Linked DNA regions of Canis lupus familiaris. The protein of the gene in region 3 interacts with the protein of the main gene of each other region in a biochemical or structural test. Links are inferred from orthologs where the notes say so. Each region holds a gene or a part of one and is shown on either strand. Other genes may lie near its edges.

Region 1 (5,963 bases), on a different chromosome or scaffold from region 3:
AATTAATATTTAACAGGGAGACGTGGTGCCAAGTATTGGCATTCCACAGGTATTGTGGAAGAAACATTGTATATACTCTGGGGATCTCTGAAGTTTGACCTTAAGCAGATCTAATCATTTTTTACAGACCTAGAGTGTTCTCTCATTTTTGAGAGATATGCAGTTTTAGTTAACAGGTAGTGGCGGCAAAATTTTGAAAGCTTTTAAAATATGACACGTGAAAGTTGCTAGTGATACTTGGCACTTCCTTAAAATCTTTACTGGTAAGGTTTATAATCATCAAATATAAACTGTTATATATGGGCTCAGGGTTTTTCATCTGCACTGATGATAGGCCTTCTGTGACCTTCCGGTCTCAGTAGCACTCGCAGCAGCTGGCATAGCTGCGGATGGTGGACACACACGCCTGTCCCGGTGTCCTGGAGATGCCTCAGCCATGCGCACACAGCAGGAGGACGGCACCTCCTGCCCAGAGTGCTGCTACCTGGGGGCATCTGGTCTGTCTTGAGCACGTGAGACCAGTGCCTGTGAAGCATTTAGCACAGTGCTGGGCTCCCTCTGCTTGAGGCCACCTTCCTCCCGGCGCTCTCCTGCCACTGGCGTCAGAAGCTTCCTCCCCTGAAGAGGAAAGAGCCCAAGAGCTCGCTTCAGCCACTTGATGGGACTCAGGGAGACAAGCTGTCCTCACCAGATCCTCCTGGCTGAGCATGCTGCTCACCCTCAGGTTATCTTCTGGTTTGTGATACACGTTGAGACAAAATGCCAAGTGCCGGACTTTGTTTTCAAGGGCAGGGAACACAAGGAAGGTGCCCAGGCTGAAAGCAGGCAGTGTGAATGGTGTTAGGCTCTCTCTGAATAATGGCATTTTTTTTAACCAGACTTTTGGAACACCTAGTTCAGAAAGAAAGAGAGTACCAGAATCTTCTACGGCAAACCCTGGAGCGGAAAACTCAGGAATTGTATCATCTTCAGTTACAATTCAAATCTAATGGTGAGAAATTTTCCACTTGCTTTGTGTGTGAGACCACTTAAAATGGCTAGTCAGCCTTGCCACAGTTGCAGTTACTCTCTAGTAAAGCAGTAAGTACTCCAGTATATTCTGGAATACTCCTCAGTAACAGAAAACCACTGGTACATTCAAAAACATGGATGAATCACAAATGCATTATGCTCAGTGAAGGCAGATTCAAAAGGCTACATGCTATGAGCACCTAAATATGGAATATTTATGCAAAACTCTGTTAAAGGCAAAACTCTAGGGACCGAAAACATCAGAATTGGGGGTGGGGGGAGAATGATTATAAAAGGCTGCAAGAACTTCTGGGGGTGACAGAAATTTGTCATCTTGATGACAGTAGTGGTTACATGACTGCCTGTCAAAGGGCACGGCCCTTACATACCTAAAAAGGGTGATTGCAGATTTATTGCACAAGTTAAACCTGATCCACTTCAGGCCACTTAGCAAAGAGCTGCAGGCACCTCTTGGAATGTGGGATGGATAAGCACGGGCACAAAATCTCAGGACTGAAGTCTATTTCCTCATTTGATTTCCAGTGCAGTTAAGGATGAGATTCCTTACAAGAGGCATTTTACAGACTGTAATAAGCATTTAAAGTGGCAGATAGAGGGATGCCAGGGTGGCTTAGCAGTTAAGCGTCTGCCTTCAACTCCAGGCATGATCCTGGAGTCCTGGGATGGAGTCCCGCGTCGGGCTCCCTGCATGGAGCCTGCTTCTCCCTCTGCCTGTGTCTCTGCCTCTCATGAATAAATAAATAAAATCTTTATTTTTTTAAGGTGGTAGACAGATAGCAAGCATATCAGATTCGCAAGTAACCTCACCCTTACCTGTGGTCCCTTTAATCTCTGGGAAGTGAATCCACCAACTAGGGAGTGTTGTGTAGTATGAATTAGAACAGTTCACACAGTTTTTTAAAAATTTTTTTATTTATGATAGTCACACACACACACACACACACACGCACACACGCACACACACACACACACACAGGCAGAGACACAGGCAGAGGGAGAAGCAGGCTCCATGCACTGGGAGCCCGACGTGGGATTCGATCCCGGGTCTCCAGGATCGTGCCCTGGGCCAAAGGCAGGCGCCAAACCGCTGCGCCACCCAGGGATCCCCAGTTCACACAGGTTTAAATTCATTTTCTTTCAAATCACCTTTATGTTGTATAATAGTTTATTTCATCCACCTTGTTACTTTTGAAGAGTTTTAAACATTAACATACAACAAAATACATCTCACATCGTTGCAGATACTACAGAGAATTCAGCATCCCCTCCTGGGTCTCAGGAGCAGAAAACTGATAAAGAGCTTGTGGACTGGTTACAACTGCAAGGAGCAGATTCGAGTACAATAGAAAAGGTAAATTTCTAACAAAAAAGCATTCCTATGCCCTTCTTACAAAGCAGCTTAGCTCTTCTGTATTCGATTTTTGTTTCAGATTGTTGAAGAAGGTTATACCCTTTCTGATATTCTTAATGACATCACTAGGGAAGATCTAAGACACCTTAGACTACGGTAAGAATGGCTTCAAAACACTGTAATAGAAAATGACTTTTTTGATGTGATTGTGCTTTTAAATCAGTAGAAAACAAAGTGGTGGTCACTTTACTCCTTCACTGAAATCAATTCTCCTTCCTATGTATGGCTATGGCTTAGTCAGAAAACCAACTACCCAACCTCCTCTCTCACTCCAGAGTTTCCTTAGGGTAGAGTTGGGTACCAGTGGGAGGTGAAACCCCAGAGCTCTCTCCAGCCCCTCCTTCCTCAGCCTGCTCCGCAGAGCCACCTGGCCCTCCTACTGGAGCCCAAATACAAGACGAAAGACCTCTAGTTAAGCGAGGAACTGCATTTTGGCAATCTAGACAGGTCTAGAGTTGTACACTGTAGCTTAAGAGCTCCTAAAGAAGTACTCGGTGGTGTGCTTACGACTCTAAAGCAGCCTCATTTGTCTCCTAGTGGTGGTTGCCTCTGCCGGCTCTGGACAGCAGTCTGCCAGTACAGAAGGGCTCAGGGGTCTCCAGCCGCCCGAGATGAGGCTGAACCAGTCGGCTTAGGCCAGGGGACAGAGGGAGCGAAGAGCTGACATCCTTCTTAAGATTTCTGTTAACATACACCCGAATTCCACTAAGTTTACATAAGGAAAACCCCGTTATTTAAGAGTTTGAAGTTTTAACGAATTGCTGAAATGGGATGAGCTTTTTAAATCTCTTACCAACATGTTTTAAAGGTGAGTAGAACTTACGTATTGTGAGAACAGTGGCTGAACTCTAATTTGACATCCCAGAATATTATGGAATCTTTTAAACAAATTTCAATATACACCCTAAAGTAACAGGCTGGGCCTCACTGTTTTAGACCATAGCTTACTATAAACTGGCATTGTACTTAAGAATATGCCTTGTATTTAATGTTTGATATGAATGTAAATAGAAAACTATTAAGAAAATAGCTTTGTATTTAATGTATAAATGAAGAAAACTAAGTTATTTGGCCTTTGAAATGATTATGGTCTTATTTAAAAATGGCATTGTTGGGGCACCTAGCTGGCTCAGCTGATGGAGCATTTGAGTCTTGATCTCAGAGTTGGGAGTTCGAGCCCCATGTTGGGTCTAGAGATTACTTAAAAATAAAATCCTTAAAAAAATAAAACTGGAATTGTCCTTCTACCTCCCTGACTGGAGATAATATACTTTTACTGAAAAATGATGGTCAGTGTGAAGAGGCTTTAGCTCCCACACGCACACTGAGGAGGGTGTGCATGTAGTATTTGCTGTTAGGTGAGGCACAGGGGCCCTTGCCAAGGGTCAAGGGAATGATCCCACTCCCCTCAAACGTAGGAATGAATGGCTTTTGATTTAGTTGTATACTATTTTTCAGTTATTAAAAGGAATAGAACTATTTTAAGGAAAAATCTGAATCTAAAATAACCTTATATAATATTCACACTAAGTGTGCAGTAACATCTTTTAATGCAACACTGTTGTACAGTTGTTGTACAAAACACATGCAATTACTACCTTAGCCTATATTCTTTTTATGGGCTTTTCTTCCTTAACAAATTTGAGAACACAAAGACCCTTAGAGTTGGATCCCACTGAAGGTGTAACTATCTATTATTAACTGATAGACTTAAACTTGATCCACTGATTTGCACCCCGAACTTCAAAAGGCGGATCGCTGCTGTAAATGTGATAGCCTAGTTCTTCCAAAGGCGGTTCCGGATCAGCAGTGGCAAACTGGGCAGCATCCTCAATTTCCTTCCTCACTTCAACATCAATTTCCTATAAATCAGATTATAGTTCAGGAGGTTACTGAGTAAACAGCAGCATAGATACAAGCAGGTCTACTTGGAACAGGTTGCTAGTACAACTAGAACTCTCCTAGGAATAGAAGTACTAACAGGGGCTCTTTATGAACCGAACATCCAAAGTATATTTTTAGGAAAAAACAGCTCCTGGGTTTCAAGGTTTTGCGAATATGACTGACCCATACTTTCCCACTGACCCAGGCAGCTCCCCCAGGAGTGGCAGCTCTCTGGGTGCAAAAAAAAAACTGGTTGCTGGAAAAGGCGAGCCTACCTTTAGTTCCTCGACACTGGCCAGGTTGCTGTTCACCATTCTATCCTTGAGAAGCATGATAGGGTCGCTCTTACTTCTTACTTCCTGAATCTCCTCTCGTGTACGGTAACTACAGGAAGACAAACAGTAGGTAAGGACAGCTCCAGAGACGTGGGCTTCGGACACAGAGCGGTCACCGGGGGAGGGTGCACATAGAATACAAGAACTCTTCCATGAAAGATACTAGAATCTTAGAGGCAAACTCTACCCTGACGATTCCCCTGGCTTCTCAGGTGTTCTGAAGAGGAGGGGCCAAGCTTTTATTTGCTTTTTTGATCCAGATGTAGGATCTGAAGGAAGTGGTAGAGCCACTGCCTGTGCCCTCTCACGTCACTGGCAGGTAGCAGAATACCAAGCAGGAAATCAGGCTTTAGGAGCCCAGAGAAGTGAGGCCAGTGAACACTTGCACAGGTTTTCCAATTCCTGATTCTAGAAAAGAAGCCCCACGGTGTTCGAGAGTCAGTTAAGAGCGCCAACCGCCCATACACACAGTTGAAAATCTGCAAATGTTGACTCCCGAAAAACAAGTCTTATGAATAACACTTTATTAACACGTATTTTGTATGTTACTTCCATGTATTAGTCTATATAGTGTGCTCTTAACGGAAGTTGGAAAGAAGTGTTATAGTCAAGAGAAATGAAAAAAGAAAATCCCTGGATCTGTGGGCCCATGTTGTTGAAACCTGTGTTGCTCAAAGGTCAACTGTACATACATCCTTGTCTTATATCTTCCAACCACCACTAAAAGGGCTCTATTGTTTTTTTGAAAATACCAAGTACATTTTTCCATCTAAGTTGTTCTTTATAACATTTCTCTTAGAATACCAATCTACTCTCAGGCTTGTTAGGGCTTATTGACTAAATCTACTACTTTTAACTCTGTCACACTCTGGGATGGCAGCATTACATGCCAGGGTCACTAAGTGGCAAGTAAAACTATCTTCCTAATGTAACTTACCTTTTTTTTGACCGATTGATTTCAATATACTGAATATCCCACGTGCCAGGTGGCCTCACTCCATACCAGCCAAGTTTTCACATTTCAACTCTATATTTGGGTAATGCCTACAAAAGCTACATGTCCCTAAATATATATATGCTATACCATTGACCTGTTTTATCCAACAGTTTCTCTCTGTAAAGTAACTTCTACCCATAACATCACAAATCCCAAGTCACATGCTCTCCCCTCTAAGCCAGCCAGGTGCCCCCTTCTCTGCAATTCATTACTGCTCATGCTAACATGTACATACTACAAATAAGGATTTTCCGAATGCTTCCAGGCAAAGACTCAAATAATTACTCGATACCAACAAATTCAC
Region 2 (6,321 bases), on a different chromosome or scaffold from region 3:
TCCCGGCCACCCCACAGCTGGCCCCGCAGCTGGCTGGCTCTGCAGGCCCAGGCCCCCGCGCAGAAGGCCACAAGTCCGTTCTCTTTTCTAGCTTTCATGACTTTCTGGTTCTCTGACGAGGTAGGAAGGAGATGAAGAGGGACTCCACAGGCCAGGATGGGCTCCCAGCCCCATCCTTGGGTGCCGTGCACACCCCTTCCTGACCAGAGAGCCACTGGCCCAGCTGCCAGGGGCTTCCACTCTGATCATTCATGATAAAGGGCCAGGCCCATCCCCACGGCCCCCGGACCCCCCACCAGGGCCAGTGAGTAGTATTCCCATGCAGTGCCTCAGGGGGACCCAAGAAGCAGCCAGTGCTGGGGTATGAGGTGCACGTGACATGCCCCAGATCCACACAGGGCTCCCAGGGCCCTCCCTGCCCAACCTCCCACCAGGAGAGGAGGCCAGGCCTTCCTCTGCATGAGCTCTCTGGGGCCTCGCCTGGCACAACGGGGAAGGGACAGTCCTGAGTGCACGGCCTGGCTGGCCTCATTGGTGGCTCCAGGACAACAGCGCAGCTGGCTGAGTTAGGCCGCGGAGGTTGCGGGGGGAACTGTAGGGGACGTGCCCGTGGGAGGGCCCCCCAAGCAAGCACTGCCCTGCAGTACTCCAGGGCTGCCCCTCGTGAGCTAGCAGGGGTCAAGGTTGGGCAGCAGCTGGGCTGTCGGAGGGCAGAGCCCGGTGGTGGCAGACCTCAGGGCAGGGTAGTGGCTGGGAGCTGAGCAGGGTGGGGGCGCCCCGTCTCGCAGACAGGGCGGAGGCCCACCCGGTGTGTGCGGCCTGCAGGGGAGGGGAGAATGGAAACCAGGTGGGAGTCTATTTGGTGACAGGTGTGCAGCACGCCCTGGTCCAGGCTTCCTGACCTGCTGGGCCACTGCGCCCCTCAAGTCCCTCAGAGGGCAAAGGACAGAGGAATGGGGGCAAGCGGCAGCTGCCTCGCTCCTGGGAGGCCTCCTGCATGCGCTAGGCAAGCGGGTGCTGTGCCCCGATCCCACGTGCTCAGGGCGGCAGGACGGACTATGGACAAGTGGAGAGAGTGGGAGGGCAGGGTTAGGGCCCCCGCTCCACTGCCAGGCTTCACGGGCAGCCTCAGGGACGGGGAAGCCTGAGGCCCAAAGCTGACAGGGCGCCGGGTTCGGGGAGTCCACGCCCCCACACTCCCTCTGGGGGTTGGACCGAGGGAGGACCCTGCGGGAGGACCCTGTTCGGGGCTTGGGAGGAAATCCCGCAGTGCAGACCCTGTAAGCCTGGAGAAGGGGTGGGAAGGGGGGAGATGCGCCAGGCCACCCACACACCTTCTTCTCGTACACGTCCTGCCACACGATGCTAGCGAAGAAGCGGTGCTGCATGATCTCCTTGGCGTCCTCTGAGCCCCCTCCGAGCCTGCGGAGGGACACGTCAGGGGCTGCCATGCCTGGCTCAGGGCTCGGGCCCCTCACCGGGCCCTCCTCCTGCTGGGGTCTCGGGGCAGCAGGGAGGACGGTGCAGGGGGCACAGCCTGGGGCTGGGGGGCACGGGAGAGGGGAGCCGGTTTGAGGGTGATGGTCCTGGGGCGGGGGATGGCACTGCCTCCCTGGGGGCAGTGGACAACACCAGGCCATGGGCCAGGCTCCTGCACGAGGAGGACGTCGGGGAGGCAGGTGCTGCCGGCAGGGCAGGGTCTTCCTGAGCAGGTGTGAGAGGCTGCGAGGTCCCCATCGGCCCTGGCCGAGGACGTCACACATCAGCCACCAGCGTGGCCCGGAGGCTGGCCCGCTGTCCCTGGGGGGCACGGGCACGGGGGTGGGGTGGCCCACCAGCCCCCTGCTGGCTCAGGGCCGCGGGCTCACCTCTGCTTGGGGTCCTTTTTGAGCAGCCCTGAGAGCAGGGACTTGGCCTCAGGGCTGAGCGTGCGCGGGAAGCGCAGCTCCTCCATGAGGATGAGCTCGAAGAGCTTCTCGTGGTCCTGGTTGTAGAAGGGCAGGCGGCCGCACAGCATCTCGTACATGACCACGCCCAGCCCCCACCAGTCCACCGCCCGGCCGTAGTCGTTGTCCTCCAGCACCTGGGGACGCAGGGGCGCGGGTCACAGGCCGCCCGGGGGACGCGGGGGCCCAGGCCCCCTGGGGACGCGGCAGGTGCGCACCTCGGGGGCCAGGTACTCGGGCGTCCCGCAGAAGGTCTTCATGGTGGCTCCGTCCTTGATGCCTTCCTTGCACAGCCCGAAGTCCGTGATCTTGATGTGCCCGTCCTTGTCCAGCATGAGGTTCTCCAGCTGTGGGGGGGCGGGTCAGTGCCAGCCCCACCCCCTGCAGCGCACCCCCCAGGCCGCTCCCGCCCGCCCACCTTGAGGTCGCGGTAGACCACGTTCTTCTCCGAGTGCAGGTAGTCCAGGGCCGACACGATCTCGGCGCCGTAGAAGCGCGCCCGGTCCTCGGGGAACACCCGCTCCCGGGACAGGTGGAAGAAGAGCTGCGGGACAAGGGCGTGACGGTGTGGGGGCTGCGGGCCGAGACCCTGCCTCCCGGGCGGGACCCCAGGGCTCAGGGCCAGCCCCACGCACGCCGCGGCCACCCTACCTCGCCCCCGTTGGCGTACTCCATGACGAAGCAGAGGCGGTCGTGGGTCTGGAAGGAGTACTTCAGGGCCTGCGAGGGAAGCAGAGCTGGTACGCGGCCCCCGGGCCCCGCAGGACGCCCGACGCCCACGGGCCGGTCTTGAATCTCAGGCAGGTAGGGTCCCGGAAGCTGGCGATCCTGGTGACCGCGTGGAGGCTTCCCCCGGGCTCGGGGCCCAGCGCGGGACGGGGTACGGTCGGCAAGGGGAGGACACGCCTGGGCAGAGCTTCCCGGCCGCCCTCCCACCCCACACCACCAGCGGCCTGGCCGTACACGGACCGAGTCGTCCCCACAAGTGACTGACCCCGGGTCTAGCCCAGCCGCCGGGGAGGAGCCCCATCCACGGAAAACACAGGACAGGCTGGTCTCTACCGGCCACAGACTCGGGCAGCGGGGATAAGCTGTGCCCCGTGAGCCCTGTCCCCTTGGAGAACCTGCAGAGGGGGTGCCACCGCCAGGGCCGGGGGTGGGGGGGGCAGCGTGCACGGACCCCGGAGGCCCTGTCGAGCGCGGCAGGGTGCTGTGGTCATGGGGGTGCGCTGAGGGGGAGGGAAGGACACAGAGCCTGGACACGAGCAGCAGGAGCAAGGTGACACAAATCTCAGGCAAAGCCAGCATAAAGAATGAGTCTGGGCTAAAAAATGAGACCTTCTTTAAAAATGTCGGTCACTTCTCCTAAGAAAACGTTTTAAGGAACAGAAACTTTAGAGAAGTACAGCCCCTTCCCTACTTTGCTCCTGCTTTGGATCAGGCGGTCCCCTGGGCTGAGGACACCCTGAGTAGGTGACGCAGCCTGGGGGTGGGGGGGAGTCCCAGGGAGAGCCCGGGTGGGGGCAGCGCCCGGCCAGACCCTGCAGGTGAGCGCGGGCCCATCCACACCTCCCAGGAGCTGGCCGAGCCCGGGACGGCGCTAAGGCTAACGGCTTTCCGGACGCTCCTCCTGGGCCAAGGGCCCCCCAGGATGAGACCCTCCTGGCTCCAGCCTCAAGGGGGGAGTAGCCGGAAGGGGGCGTGCAGGGCAGGCACGGGGGCTTGGGGTCCTCCCAGGGCCTCGGGCAGCGCGGGGGGAGGAAGACCCCATTCCGTGCACGGGGGCACAAACCACCCCCGCCTCCCGGCATCCTCGCAGGTGTGCCCACCCTCGGCCAGGCACGCGGGGCTTCCGCGGACAGGCTGGTGGCAGGGAGCCCCCGGCCCAGAGCCTCACCCCCGCAGGCAGCCCGGCGCCTCCAGGACTCACCGTCAGGAAGGGATGCCGAGAGTTCTGGAGAACACGGTTCTCCGTGAGCGTGTGGGCAACCTCGTCCTGGAAGACAGAGCCCGGTGAGCCCCCGCCTGCCCCTGCCCGCCCCCACACCCCGGCCAGGCCCCGGCCCCGTGCCCCACCTTGGCCACAATGACCTCCTTCTTCAGGATCTTCATGGCGTAGTAGCGGCCCGTGGCCTTCTCCTTGACCAGGATCACCTTCCCAAACGTGCCCTTCCCCAGCAGCTTCAGGTACTCAAACTCATTCATGGTCTGTGGGGCGGCGGGCAGGCACCTGGGGTCAGGGCGGCCCGGACCCCCCCGCAATCCCGCATCCCAGCCCTACTCCTCCCACAGGGCTCCCAGTGGCCACAATGGGGCGGCCAGGCCCCTCTGAGCTGGGGGAGCGCCTCACCACACGGTGCTTGGGCTTGGCCAGGGACACCTCCATCTCCTCAGCCCCCGAGTTGTCACTGGGCGAGCCCGACCGGAAGTCCATCATCTCTTCCTCCTGCCTCTTGAGCCCGTCGGCCACTGTCTGGATGGCAGTCGTCCACTCCTCCCTGCAGGGCCGGCACGTGAGGCCCCGTGACCCCGGCCTGGACACGGGGGACAGCGAGGCCTGGCTCCCCACAGGGCGTGTGCCCTCCCCACCAGGGAGCAGAGGCCCCGGCACCCAGCTGCCCCGTGCATCCATCTCATACCGCTCCTCGGGTGTCTCCACGTGGAAGGTGCGCTCGATGACCGTGGTCCACTGCAGGCAACGGATGATGAAGGTGTTGGGCCTGGGCCGCTCAGTCTTCATCAGCTGACATTCTGGGGGCAGGGCTGGCAGGTGAGTCTGCACCCCCGCACACAGGGCCCACCTGCCCCCGGCCCCGGGACCCCACCACCAGGTCATGCAAAGCCCTATCCCATTCCCATTCCACGCCTTGGCTCCCCTGCTTGTAAAACCAGGGGTGGGACCCCTATTCCAGTCCTGACACTGTGCTGGCAGGCAGTGAGGTGCCCCTGCAGGGCTGGCTGAGGCCGGGTCACCTCGGCCCCATGTCATCCTCTCCCCTGGTCCTTCGGTCTCTGAGCCCGTGCTGCATGCCAGGCAGCTCAACTGGCCGGAGGGAGGAGGAGGAGGGATGCCCCAGGGGCGGGGCAGAGGAGGGAAAGCAGCTGGCCCCCGAGCAGGAACCCCCTGCCATTTACCCAGCCCACGCCCCCCCCAGCAGGGCCAGTCCCAGGGCAAAGGCCGGTGGGGACTCACCCTTCAGAGACGCCGCCTGTCCTGGGCAGGCAGCTGGAGGACATGACCCTCCCTGGAGGCTGCTCGGGCTGTACCCACCCCACACGATGGCATTCCCCCACCACCACCCGAGGCTGGGGATTCCAGGCGCATGGCAGGAACACGGAGACACATATCCAGAGCACGCACACACCTGGAGCATGCACAAACCTGGAATGTGTGCACACCGGGAGCTCATACACAGCTGAAACACACGCACACTAAGGAGCTCAGAAGCATGCTCATGGCCGGAACAGGCACACACTTGGAGCAGGCACACAGCTGGGATGCGTGCACACCGGGAGCTCACACAGCTGGAACATGCACGTGCCTGGAGCAGACACACAGCTGGATTGTATGCACACTAGGAGCTCATACACAGCTGAAACGCGGGCACACCTGGAACACACGCACACTAGGAGTTCCCACACACTGGAAGCTCACACACAGTTGGAACACACACACACCAGGGGCACGCTCATGGCTGGAGCACGCACACACCAGGACTGCACACACCTGAAGCGGGCACACAGCTGGACCAGACACACAGCAAGAGCAAAACACACCAGGAGAATGCACACGCCTGGAACAGGTACACAGCTGGAGCACGCACACACCTGGAGCAGGCACACAGCTGGAGCACACACACACCTGGTGCAGCCACACAGCTGGAGCAGGCACACAGCTGGAGCACGCACACACCTGGAGCAGGCACACAGCTGGAGCACGCACACAGCTGGAGCACGCACACAGCTGGAGCACACACACACCTGGAGCAGGCACACAGCTGGAGCACGCACACAGCTGGAACACGCACACAGCTGGAGCACGCACACACCTGGAGCAGGCACACACCTGGAGCAGGCACACAGCTAGAGCACACACACACACCAGTAATGCACGCACACCAGCAGCACAGGGGCTGTGGGGATGCACGAGGCCCCAAGAGGGGTGTGAGCCAGTCTGGGGTACCGCTGAGAAATTCTAGGGCGACGCTGGCCCAGTGTGTGTGAGGGCCCTAGCAACCTCAGGGGGGCCTGGCCGGGCTCGGCAGAGGTAAGGAGTGGTCTACCGGGGCTGGGCCTGGCCTATGTCAACATGGGGATGGGGGACAGAAAGCCTTGTGGCCTGTGTTCTCCGTCCCGCACACCTACCTCCCACTGG
Region 3 (5,953 bases):
AGTTTCTCTTAATCAGATGTATTTTTTCAAATTTTTGGACAATTAGGTATTTTTAATACAATATTATAATTCTATAACTGTTATATTTTGAATTCTATAATGGAAGACATCAAAGTATAAAACCACGGCAAGAATACTGTGGCCTTTTATATTTGAGTTAAACTTTAAAAATGTCCTGGCCTCATAAACTGTTTCCTATAGGAAATTTTCACTATTTTAAATTTATTATAAACAGATGTCAACATTTCCATTCAAAACTACAAAATTCCGGACAGTATTTATTCTATGTGACAACTGCAGGAAGTGTACTTCTAGACTTTCAGAAAATAGCTCCCAAGTGAATGTAACATTCAAATGGAAGTTTGGTTTACCTTCCTGGAATTAAAACTGCACATTTTCGCTCAAAAATCTAATTCAATAGAGTAAAAGATAGCTGTCACCATTCCCTAATGAAAATAACAGCTTTTGAAAGGCAAGAAAAAAGGCCTAAAGTTTTACAGGAAAAATGGGCAACCTTGAACTGGAATGAAAGGACCTAGAAACACATTCCAAACCACTAAAATGCAATCTGATTGATGAAAAAGATTTTTAAATTACAGTTGATCTGTGTATAACTATGTACAATATTGGCCTTGGTGAGGAAAGAGTAAGAATGATAATAACATACACCTATATTGTGTTTATTACCACTGTTCTTATAAATATGGATTAAGTTTCATGTTATAAATTAAAAGAAACAAAACTGGCAATCTTGTCTTTTCCTATCAAAATCCTATGGTTAGCAATTGCTAAAGAAATATGAAGACTCTAGGAAAAAGTGAGCAGTATGTCTAATTCTTTCCAAACATGTAAGTAGAACAAAAGGTCAGTAGTCCTAGAATGCCTGAACTAAGCAAACCAGCATGTTCTTTTTTAACATATGTAAAATCCTTCACACCTCATTATACTATTTTTTTCAAGCACTGGGCTTGACTGTAAGAAGATGAATCATTGGGGCCAGAAGTTAATCACATATGATGAAAAGTTCCTCCAGGAAAAGCCGTTTGCTAACCAGCTAGCTCAATTCTGATTACCCATCTGCTAAAACTTTATGACAAAGCAATTGAAGACACAAACTCAAGTTGGTTGACTGATTTTTGGCTTCCCCTCTGATTAGCCATTCACAGGCCACCAAGGTCCAGTAATGATAATGGTTTGTTTGCCCAGTTTTTCACCTATGGAGTTTGTTACGGAGCTTGTTGGGATTAACAATGATGGGAAGTTGTAGTCATATCCCATTATTCAGGAATAGAGATAGGCACCTATCTTTGACTAGATTTAGTTCTGACTTTTCAACTGGTACAGAGGGGACTGCTAGTTAAATTAAGACCTTTCTTATAGGGGCAGCCTGGGTGGCTCAGCGGTTTAGTGCCTCCTTCAGTCCAGGGCATGATCCTGGAGACCCAGGATTGAGTCCCACGTCAGGCTCCCTGCATGGAGCCTGCTTCTCTCTCTGCCTGTGTCTCTGCCTTTCTGTCTGTCTCTCATGAATAAATAAATACAATCTTAAAAAAAAGGACCTTTCTTATAATTACTTATATTATGAAAACTTACTCAAAGAGCACATTAATATAACCTTTCAAAAATCACACAACAGAAGATCTTCACTTGTGTGGTGAGTTGGTCCATCAGTGGATGTTTGGATAATGAAAATCTGGGATAACTCAAACCATACAAATTCTATCTCCTGCCTTTTCCATTAGAATATACACATCGGAAATCTAAGTTCTAAACATTTCCTCAACTGAAGATGGGGAGACTTAGTGTGAGCCATCTAGGTACAACCATTTGAGTGTTTATAGAACACCGACCCTTGATGGAAGAGACTTTAATTGAAAAAAATATATATTATTTAAAAAAACCTAAATCGATCCAATTAATTTTCAAAATAAGAGTTGATCCATGTTTTCAGTTTATTGCCACACACAAAACATTTTATAAAATAATATGGTAGACTTCCACTTTAACATCTTCATGTAAAAACTTCACAGTGCAAGAAAGTGATCACTATTTAGTATGAAGACATCTAAAGCCAGCCAGTAATTTAAGTATAGGTCAGAATATTTTTGCGAATCTTCCTAAAAAATGTTGGCACATTTATTCAATGCCCAGGTATAAAAATCACTTAGTATCCACTTCTTATCCTTCTGTATATTTTTATATCTATATGGCATCACACTAAATGCTGGTGGACAAAACAACCTAAGAATTTAAAAACTTTTCAGGTAGCGCAATGATTTGAAACCACCGAGGAGAATGCTAGCCCCCAGACATTTTTGTATGTAATCTTCTGTCCATTACCACATAATAAAGTAAAAAAGCTGTTATACCTTAAAAAGAAGCTAAAGGAAAACATTTCACTTTTGCTTTAAAAACATCATTTCTTAGCTCATAAATAGAGAAAAGCTTTAATTTGGGGGGGAGGGGAAGTGTTTCAGAAGTAAAACAGCAAGTTTATGTCAGTTGTACAAATGTTTCATTTAGGAAAGAAAAGTATTTTGATTCAAAGAATTCTAAAATATTTCATCATTACAAAAAAAGTGTAATTTAAAGCTAAAAAACGGTAATACCTTGAACTAATATAAATCATCCACTAGCATATCTTATTATTTTTCACAAAATCCATAATTAAGGAACAATCGATTGGGTAAAGGATCTTTTTCCAACATTTGGTCAAATTAGCTAAGAAGCCCTGAGTCTCAGGGCTGTCACCTCTCAAATGAGGGTCCTGGACTGCCCTTTTACAACCCTTCTGATTTACAAATTTATATAGAATTGTTAAACTCATGGAATCCTTTTGAGAATGAGGTGTTGCCACCAGATGTATTTTCCAGATAAAGTTCCCACATTTAAGTAGTAAAGTTGTTCTTTAAAAATTCAAAATCTTACTTTAAAATTTATTTTTGATATATTTCCCTGTCACTTTAAAAGTTGAGTTGTGACTAACCCCATACTCCCCTAACGTCCTCGTGGTCTCCCAGAGCTGGCGGCTGGCAGTGATCCGCAGAGAGAGTTCAGGCCCTGACTCCAATGCTGTGCAACTTCTGGCCACACTCTGAGTCTCAAAACAAGGATGATACCACCCCCTCTGTACCTGTTTTAAAGCCCAAGGGAGTGATCATATTATACCAAAGTATTTGTAAAATGCAAATTATCATATGAATGCAAAGAACTGCTGCTAAGTCCTAGGTGAATTTTTCCTGATAACCAAGTCTAGGTATTTCTCATAAAATAAATGTACTTCGTCAATCCTTGTGCATTTATGGTTCTGATTCTTCAGTTACCAGACTGTCTGCATGTAGTCACTGTGTCTCCTGCTTTTAACTGCACCAGGCCTGAGAGTGTTGGTCTCTCCTGGAGTCTAGAAGTCTGACCTTTCAATATTAAGAATCAAAATCTAAAGATCTCTGTTACCTTAGCAAATGTGGTAACATTACTCACTTTAAAGGAGTAGTTCCCTAACTAGGTGAGGCATTAGACTCATCTAGGAAGCATTCTAAAAATTGAGATTTCTGGGCTCCAGCTGTAGAGTCTGATTATATATATGTCTGGAGTAAGACCCAGAAAAATTCTGTTCAAAATCTCCCCCAGGTAATCTCAATAATTGATAGTTCGAGGACTCACTGCTTTGACCTCAATTTCTTCTCTAGAATTTTAGCAGCTGCTAGTTTGTTTTTAGTGTAAAAATTTCTCCCTGCATTTAATCACATGCATATTCAGAGTAGATTGCCCACCATCTTGGCTTAGCTACATAGGGAACCTATTGCAATCCTTTGCAATGAAATTAAAAAATGGTAAGTCAACTTCAGAGTGAAGATGATACATGTAGATGCTGAAAGGTGGCTGGTGCTAGACTTGCAGAGCAACTATCTTTTGCTTTACTTATAGTTAGTCACTGGTACATCTGAGGACCATCTTTTTACAATTGTCATTACGCATTAATAATGGAGGTCACAACTCCAAAAACCGGATGGCTAACTAGCTTAATCAGTATCATTAAGAAAATGTTTCTAGCACACATAAATGAAAAGTTCTTTAAAAACCACACAGCTTTCTGTTAGAAACCCAAAGACTTCCATGCTTCTGAAGTCTACCATAAAGAGGAAAGTTGACCAAAACTACAGTTGTTTAAAAATATGTTCAATTAACTGTGAAAATATAAGTGCAAAATAGGTACAATTTCATCCTTTAGGAGGTTTAACAGACATAAATGGAATTCACTTCCCATTTATTCTACCCAAATAGTTAATTTTGAAAATAACACGTGAAGTATTTGGTATAATGTAGTTCTGAACGTCATCCCTTCCAAATTTAATACAAAAGCCACATTTGGATGTTCACGGTGTCCCAAGTGTATCTAGGCACTGCGAAATGTTGTCATGTCTTTTGGTTCTCTGCTGGGGACACACCAGTCGTCAGCCTCATGGTTGGTATTGTAATGCTTCCAGGCAGCCTTGTTATACACTGGCAGTCTCTCTATTGATTCTGTTGACAGAGCCTGAAAGAAAAAGTGGGATCTAAATCTGGCTTTTTTTTTTTTTAAATCCACTATTTGAGAAAATATACAGTGGCATAAGGTTACTACAAATTAAACAGCGCTTTATTGGATTTGTATTTCACTAATCATTAACACCATCTACATACATTTTGAAATGGTGTATATATGTAACACATTATTTACTAGTAAGTCCATGGCACTGCTTGTTGTGCATATTGAGTTTTTTTGTTTGCAGTCATTGTCCAGCAGCCTCGAAGCTGCTGAATTGAAATTTTATATAGGTATAGGAGATGCTTCTTATAAAAACATGACCCATAACAGAAGTTGGTTAATTGAAAAAGTCATTTAAGGGGTGCCTGGGTGGCTCAGTTAGTTGAGCATCTACTTTTGGCTCAGGTCATGATCTTGAGGTCCCAGGATTGAGCCCTACATCAGGCTTCCTGCTCAACAGGGACCCTGCTTCTCTCTCTCTCCCTCTGCCCCACTTCAACTACTCATGCTCTCTGTCAAATAAAATCTTTAAAAAAATTCATGTAAAAGCAGAAAAATTGACATATGTTCCTTAATATATAATTGTACAATCATTTAATGGAATCTATTTCAATTATTTTAAGATTTATTTTTTAAAACTTTTTATTTATTTATTCATGAGACACACAGAGAGAGAGGCAGAGACATAGGCAGAGGGAGAAGTAGGCTTCCATGCAAGAGTCGGAGTAGAACTTGATCTCAGGATTCCAGAATCACCACCTGAGCTAAAGGCAGAGGCTAAGCCAGTGTGCTACCCAGGAGCCCCCTGTTTCAACCATTTGTTAGAAGAAACACTTTTTTTTCATCGGAGTCACTGTACTTTAAAAAAGTCATCATAACAAAATATAATAACTATAAATACAAAACTTTATCTAAGGCATCTTGGCTTTTGATTGAAAAATTCTTAGCCTTGGCTCTGACCCTGTGCCTTCTCCTCCTGCCATTAAGGCCACCAATTTCACTTATAGCATATATGTTACCCACATTGTGCATAATTTCATGTTTCCAACATATCATTACCATTAATTCACTGTTCTATCTCAGATTCCTGCAAATTACCAGAACTTGAGATAAACCATGTTCCTTCTTATCTTCTTTCAGTAGGATTTCAACCTTAAGCCATGGATATTTCCCAAGATATAGAAAATATTAAACAGGAAATTTCATTCTGAGAATAGAAAGGAAAGTCTTTGACATTGATTTTAATTTTTTTTTTTTTTTTAAGGTAGGCTCCGTGCACGGCATGGAGCCCGACAGGGGCTTGAACTCATGACCTCAAGATCAAGACCTGAACTGATATCAAGAGTTGGATGCTCAACCGATTGAGCCAACCAGGTGCCCCTGATTTTAATGATTTTGTAATATTCCTGTCTTCTATTTTTTCCA

Evidence for each region.
Region 1: the proteins of PDK1 (region 3) and PDHA1 form a complex in vitro, tested with the Homo sapiens proteins (2 studies listed by BioGRID, with this or other methods). The link is inferred for Canis lupus familiaris from reciprocal best matches to the Homo sapiens genes PDK1 and PDHA1.
Region 2: of the proteins of PDK1 (region 3) and AKT1, one has a biochemical effect on the other in vitro, tested with the Homo sapiens proteins (3 studies listed by BioGRID and IntAct, with this or other methods). The link is inferred for Canis lupus familiaris from reciprocal best matches to the Homo sapiens genes PDK1 and AKT1.

Annotation. Positions count from the first base shown.
Region 1 is NC_049260.1:15,428,047-15,434,009, reverse strand, and holds the end of PDHA1 (pyruvate dehydrogenase E1 component subunit alpha, somatic form, mitochondrial), read right to left. Parts: intron 4,712-5,963; coding exon 4,603-4,711; intron 4,306-4,602; coding exon 4,141-4,305; 3' UTR 2,396-4,140; coding exon of another isoform or gene 2,274-2,395; 3' UTR 2,180-2,273; downstream 1-2,179. Other genes in the region: MAP3K15 (mitogen-activated protein kinase kinase kinase 15), read left to right, coding at 879-991, 2,274-2,395. UniProt on the Homo sapiens protein: The pyruvate dehydrogenase complex catalyzes the overall conversion of pyruvate to acetyl-CoA and CO(2), and thereby links the glycolytic pathway to the tricarboxylic cycle.
Region 2 is NC_049229.1:72,719,038-72,725,358, forward strand, and holds part of AKT1 (RAC-alpha serine/threonine-protein kinase), read right to left. Parts: intron 4,698-6,321; coding exon 4,586-4,697; intron 4,445-4,585; coding exon 4,297-4,444; intron 4,155-4,296; coding exon 4,023-4,154; intron 3,943-4,022; coding exon 3,877-3,942; intron 2,667-3,876; coding exon 2,598-2,666; intron 2,491-2,597; coding exon 2,365-2,490; intron 2,294-2,364; coding exon 2,165-2,293; intron 2,084-2,164; coding exon 1,869-2,083; intron 1,423-1,868; coding exon 1,335-1,422; intron 1-1,334. UniProt on the Homo sapiens protein: AKT1 is one of 3 closely related serine/threonine-protein kinases (AKT1, AKT2 and AKT3) called the AKT kinase, and which regulate many processes including metabolism, proliferation, cell survival, growth and angiogenesis.
Region 3 is NC_049257.1:17,255,472-17,261,424, reverse strand, and holds the end of PDK1 (pyruvate dehydrogenase (acetyl-transferring) kinase isozyme 1, mitochondrial), read right to left. Parts: exon of another isoform or gene 5,793-5,953; intron 4,538-5,792; coding exon 4,397-4,537; 3' UTR 1,929-4,396; downstream 1-1,928. UniProt on the Homo sapiens protein: Kinase that plays a key role in regulation of glucose and fatty acid metabolism and homeostasis via phosphorylation of the pyruvate dehydrogenase subunits PDHA1 and PDHA2.